Linked DNA regions of Kluyveromyces lactis. The protein of the gene in region 1 interacts with the protein of each later gene in a pairwise test. Links are inferred from orthologs where the notes say so. Each region holds a gene or a part of one and is shown on either strand. Other genes may lie near its edges.

Region 1 (2,837 bases):
GTATTTGAAATCGTCGATATCACTGACATTTCTCTTTATCTTCAATTTTGGGAAAGCTCTTGGCTCTCTGGCAATTTGTGTCCTTAATGCATCAACATGATCTTTATAAACATGCGCATCACCCAAAGTGTGAATAAATTCACCAGGTTCCATATCACAGACCATAGCAATCATCTTCGTCAGTAGCGCATACGACGCGATGTTAAAGGGTACTCCTAGACCCATATCACATGATCTCTGATAAAGTACACATGACAATCTTGGTTTGGCACCTTCTCCCTTGGGGAAACTGACGTAAAATTGCGAGAAAACATGGCATGGCGGTAAAGCCATCTTGGGGAAATCCGGAGGGTTCCATGCAGAAAGAATTATTCTTCTGTCGTATGGATTTGTCTTCAACTTATGAATAATCTCCTTCAACTGATCAACACCTTGACCACTATAATCATCATCACATGTCTTATATTCGGCCCCAAAATGTCTCCATTGGAACCCGTAAACTGGTCCTAAATCCCCCTCTCTTCTGTCAGTCAACCCAAGTGAGTCCAGGTACTCACGAGAACCGTTACCTTCCCATATCTTAACGCCTTGTTCTGATAATTTCTTCCCGTCTGTACATCCAGCAACAAACCATAAGAGCTCCAAAATAATACCTTTCGTAAACACTCTCTTCGTAGTGAGAAGCGGGAAAGTATCATTGCTCAAATTAAACCGTAACTGTGGAGGCGCAAAAAGGGAATAAGTCCCTGTACCAGTTCTATCTGGTCTGAATTCTCCCTCATTGATAATCCTTTCACATAAATCCAAATACTGCTGTTCTTCCGCGTTAACAGCCTCAAGCTTAACTCTCTTCACGTTTTCATCGCTCAGCGTCATGGTTGACAAATGTTGGTTGTTTAATGATCCGATAAAACGCCAAAGGAGTCGAAGGATGGTTGAAGTAAGATAGAGTTTAAACTAGAGATGGCCTTTAACTCTTAAAAGCCGTAGTCTGATTCTTAACGCGTTTTCGTGTTGTGGGAATTTTTCAATGGCCGGGTAATGATGGTGAAACAATGTCACGTGCTACCTAAATTCTTAATTCCATCCTCGATGAAGCTTTGGTCTGGCAAACGAATGCGAATCAAATTTAACCAAAGGTTACTTTGGTTAAGGAGGTACCGTTCTACTGGTAATTATACTGTCTATTAACTGTCCAATTAGAGGCAACTATCGTGTGTGTTTACCCTATCTAATCTGGGACTATAAGCGTTCCTTGTTCAAGCTTTTCTATGTTGAGTAAGTGTCAAAAAGAATATATACAAAGAAAGTGACTACCTTAATATGAGTAATAGAACTGAGCTCTTCAAAAAGTACATGCAAGTGATTGCAGAGACTCAGGGAATTGATGATGCTAGGAACGAATTGAATAATACGAAAGCGAGAGAGGATAGAGAAAAGGTGAAGGAAAAGTTTAGTGTAAAGGATACTTTTGTAAAAGAAAGTAAGCAGTTGATGAAACATATTATGGAATTCCAGATAGTGATAAGGCAATTGACTCCCAGGTACGAAAGTGCTACTGACATGACTGATCAGGAGAAAGATGATTTTGATACAGAGAGCAAACTTCAATTACAGCAATATTTCGAGAAATATAAGCAATTGGAATCGTATGAAAGACAGAGACAAGAAATGATGAAAGAAAAGTTAGAGAAATGGTCCGCAACCGTACCATTTTTCTCTAGATCAATTGACGATGTATCCAGTTTCCACAAGGTGAATAATCAATTTCGTATGGGTATATTACAGTCATTGAATATGTGGCTCATGAAGATTTCAGATAGGTTGTCAACCATTCAGCAGACACGATTATCCAGACAAAGACATATCGAAGCCATTGATTTCAATGCTCAATTACACTTACCTGAAGAAATTTCTGTATCACAGTCTCCTATGATAACGACAACTGTTGAAGAAATCAAACAGTACGAGGAAACGATGTCCAAACTCTCTTCAGAACAATTACAAATCTTGGCCACAGAGCATGAAGAACTTCTTAATTTGAAGAACGAAGAATTACAAAAAGCAGAGGCACTACGGAGAACCGCAGTAGATATTGCATCGCTACAGAGTGAATTGGCTACACATTTGCAGGTTCAAACACAAAATATTAATACATTGCTCGATAATCAGACTGACGTGGAGATGGAAATGGAAAAAGGTAACAGACAGTTGAAACAGGCCAACAGGAAAGGAGATAGGCTCGCTAACATGGTCATGTGGTTTGCTATAATTTGTGGACTGCTATTGTTATTCTTCGATTACATAAATTAAGGTTAATTCGTTTCTCTCTGTTGCAATTGCTTACTACACGGTGATACGTAATGGTGTATATATGTACGGTAAGTTTTTAATAATCTAAAGATTTGATCAACGCAGCTCCGATTGTTCTTCCCTCCTTTCTTAGAACCACCCTTCCTAACTTCTTATTTTGCTCGAATGTTAGCATTGGGATTCTTCTTTTTTTCTCCACCAGCTCGATCTCAACTATGGCAGCTTGTTGAGAACCCAAATGCTTCACTTTCTTTTTTAAAACCTTAGATGGATTACTTTTATCGACAGTACAACACAATTTTTTGATTCTACAAGGTTGTTCTGTAGCACCTCTAAAGAGCATGAGCGAGGTACCAGGTAATAACGGTCTATCCAGCCTGAAAGTCAAGAGTCTTGAGGTAAATTCTTGGGAGCTTGGGATATCAAATCCAACGATAGATGCCAAATCACCACCTTGAATATCTTCAGGGAAGGCGTTATGCAACTTCAATTGGACAAAGTCTCCATGTAATGCAATATCCACT
Region 2 (3,748 bases), on another chromosome or scaffold:
CATGTTTTGATTCTAAATGTTTCTTTGGAATATGAGAAGACGGAAGTCAACTCTGGTTTCTTTTACAGCTCTGCTGACCAACGAGACAAGTTGGCTGCTAGTGAAAGAAAATTTGTTGATGAGAAATTAAAAAAAATCATCGACTTGAAGAATGAAGTATGTGGTATGGATTCTAAAGAGGGTTTTGTTATCATAAACCAAAAAGGTATCGACCCAATGTCATTAGATGTTCTTGCTAAACACAACATTCTTGCTCTAAGAAGAGCCAAGAGACGTAATATGGAAAGACTACAACTCGTCACTGGGGGTGAAGCTCAAAATTCCGTTGATGATCTTTCGCCTAAAATTTTAGGTTATTCCGGATTGGTTTACCAGGAAACTATCGGCGAGGAGAAATTTACTTACGTCACCGAAAACAGAGATCCTAAGTCTTGTACCATTTTGATTAAAGGTTCTACTCACCACGCTTTGACCCAAACCAAAGATGCAGTAAGAGATGGTTTAAGAGCTGTTGCAAATGTCATCAAAGACAGTGCTGTCGTTCCTGGCGCTGGGGCATTCTTCATTTCTGCTTCCCAGCACTTGAAAAGGGCGAATATGAACAAGCTAGGCGCCAAAGGTAAAGCAAAAACAGGTGTACAAGCCTTTTCAGACGCACTTTTGTCTATTCCTAAGACATTAATAAAGAATTCCGGATATGATGCCCTTGATGTACTTGCCCAATGCCAAGACGAGTTGGAAGAAGATGAGACAAGAATAGTGGGTGTTGATCTAAATATTGGCGACTCTTGTGATCCAACTATAGAAGGTGTTTGGGACTCTTATCGTGTCCTCAGAAATGCAGTAACTGGTGCCGCAGGTATAGCCTCTAACTTGTTGCTATGCGACGAACTACTCAGAGCCGGTAGATCTACATTGAAGGAAGGTCCACCACAATAATGAAGCTGGTACAATTAAAAAATATCACTGTCTTTAACGTAGGTTCCAAAATCAAATAGAATTATGTATACTAAATGGAAATAAATACGAAGTACAAGACTCAAGTTTGGCCGATGTATATGTAATATGCGATCTCTTCACGAGTGCTATAGATCCAAATCTACGTGTTGGCCAAATACCGTTTCCATCACCGAAAACGAAATACTAATATACTTCAAAAAATGATTAAACATCAAAACTGGAAGCACCTTTATAATAAACAGACACACCAAAAGTACAGAAAGTACGGACGAGAGTGAAGTCATTGACTGCAAACCATTGAACAGCATACCTCATCGGGATCACATATATACCAGAGTAATATGCTGAATTCAGAATTGTCCTTAAGAGACAGACAGATTCTGTCTATTGAAAAGATGCTACTGTTCAATTCAGATAAAGGAACGGAAGCAGCAACAAGCAATCTTGATGAACAAGAGATCGTTTGGAAAGTACTGATCATGGATGCTAGGAGCACCGCTATAATATCATCTGTTATGAGAGTCAATGACTTGTTAAAATCCAATGTTACAGTTCACGCCCTTATCACACAACAGAGATCCCCTTTACCTGATGTTCCAGCAGTGTATTTCGTGGAACCAACAGAAGCGAACATCGATGCGATTGTCCAGGACTTGAAAGAAGATAAGTATTCAGAAACATACATCAATTTCACAACTACATTGAAAAGAGATCTTTTAGAAACCTTTGCAAGCAAGGCTTCTGCTACTGGCAAGTCTGACAGAATAAAACAAGTGTACGATCAATATTTGGATTTCGTTGTAACAGAACCGGAAATGTTTTCATTGGAGATGCCCGGCACTTATGGACTTATTAATAATCCTCAGAGTTCTGAGGACGTTATCACTAATCTATGCGATTCAATTGCTACTGGGATCTTCAATGCTATCGTCACAATTGGAACTATACCTATTATTAGAGCACAAAGGGGTGGTGCTGCTGAAATGGTGGCTCAAAAACTTGAAACCAAACTGCGTGATTATGTCAATGGTACCAGATCTTCAGCTAGTGGATCAACTTCATTTGAGCGGTTTGTTCTTGTTATAGTGGATAGAAATATTGACATTGCTTCTATGTTTGCACATTCCTGGATTTATCAATGTTTGGTATTTGATGTTTTCAAATTATCAAGAAACACTATAACCATGCCTACCACCAACGAGCAAAACGAAGAGGTTATTAAAAAAATGGATATAGACCCAAAAGATTTTTTCTGGATTGCCAATTCTCATCTACCATTCCCTGATGCTGTCGAGAACGTGGAAACTGAACTTTCGAATTACAAAAAAGATGCAGAAGAAATTACCAAGAAGACTGGTGTAAGCAATTTGACAGATCTTGATCCAACAGGACAAAGTGACACTATACAAATTCAAGAAGCTGTGAAAAAATTACCACTTCTCACAGCTAGAAAATCTACCATTGATACACACATGACAGTTCTCGCAGGGCTTTTGAAACAGCTTGAAAGCAAAGGCTTAGATTCTTTCTTTGAGTTGGAACAATCTTCCGATTCTTCTAAAACCAGACAAGATTTCCTTGCTGCTCTTAAAGATGGAAAGACTAACAACATCGAAGATAAGGCGCGTACGTATATCATAATGTACCTGACAGCACAAGAAATATTGCCTAGCGCCTTTGTCAAAGAAGTGGAGCAATATTTCCAAAGCGTCGAGTATGATATCAGCGCATTAAAGTACATATATGATTTGAGACATATGTTCAAACTCTCTTCAATGGCATTACAAAATAAATCATTAGAAACGCATACATCCGCTAATTCAGAAGGCCAGGACGGTAACGCATCACAGCTTCTCTCCGGACTATCAAACAAGTTATATGGATTAACTGAGGGGAAAATACAAGGTGTTAGTTCTCTTCTTTCTGGAATCAAACAACTTCTTCCCGAGAAGAAAACGATTCCCATTACCAATATCGTCGAAGCCATCATGGATCCATTGAACAGCTCAAAAAAGAACCTTCACATTACAAGTGAATATCTTTACTTTGATCCTAGAAGCACAAGGGGTTCGCACGAGAAGCTACCAAAGAGTCAGACATATAATAAATCCTTGGTGTTTGTTGTAGGTGGCGGTAATTACTTTGAATACCAAAATCTTCAAGAATGGGTTCACCAACATGAAAATAGCAACAAGAAGGTCATTTATGGTAGCACTGATATAATCTCCCCTAACGGATTCTTGAAAGAGATCTCAGGATTTAAAAAGTGAGGTTATAATATAGATTTATGATTTTATTTGTTGTCAGTATATATTTATAATAAACTTATACTTTGATGAAGTAAGATGCCATGTTAACACGAAATTAAAGTTACAAGTAATTTTCAGATTGTTCCAAGATCTTCGTAGACCTTTTAGCATCTAAAAATAATAGCTTTGCTTCTTCAACATCTGCCACCGATATTTCGGCGCGGTTTGCAATCTTAGCAATGATACCTGATGGTGATAGAAGCTGTAGAACATAACGCAAAGAAGTTTCTGTGCCTAAAGTCGCCAAAAATTCCAATGCTTCGTCCTCCACCTGCAAGTTCTCTACAGCAGCTCTCTTTGATATGATTGTTTTGATCTCTTCTCTGTTATAAGGTAGAGTTCGAACAATTAGGAGTCTATCTATCAAATCTGGTGGAACACCGTGAGGAGAAACAACGTCGTCAGTGCCGCGTACGGTGATCATTCCTCTGTTTGAGGCCAAAACAACCACAGGTGCAATATCAGATTCTAATGCTCTG

The links. The genes of interacting proteins can lie anywhere in the genome.
Region 2: the proteins of UFE1 (region 1) and SLY1 interact in binary tests that used the Saccharomyces cerevisiae proteins (3 or more experiments, as listed by UniProt). The link is inferred for Kluyveromyces lactis from reciprocal best matches to the Saccharomyces cerevisiae genes UFE1 and SLY1.

The regions. Positions count from the first base shown.
Region 1 is NC_006037.1:696,665-699,501, reverse strand, and holds UFE1 (Ufe1p), read left to right. Parts: upstream 1-1,323; coding exon 1,324-2,313; downstream 2,314-2,837. Other genes in the region: CDC21 (thymidylate synthase), read right to left, coding at 1-876; ribosome dissociation factor GTPase HBS1, read right to left, coding at 2,390-2,837. UniProt on the Saccharomyces cerevisiae protein: Syntaxin required for targeting and fusion of Golgi-derived retrograde transport vesicles with the ER.
Region 2 is NC_006040.1:1,557,434-1,561,181, forward strand, and holds SLY1 (syntaxin-binding protein), read left to right. Parts: upstream 1-1,301; coding exon 1,302-3,230; downstream 3,231-3,748. Other genes in the region: chaperonin-containing T-complex subunit CCT6, read left to right, coding at 1-939; RVB1 (RuvB family ATP-dependent DNA helicase pontin), read right to left, coding at 3,331-3,748. UniProt on the Saccharomyces cerevisiae protein: Able to suppress the functional loss of YPT1. SLY1 is essential for cell viability. May interact indirectly, or directly with YPT1.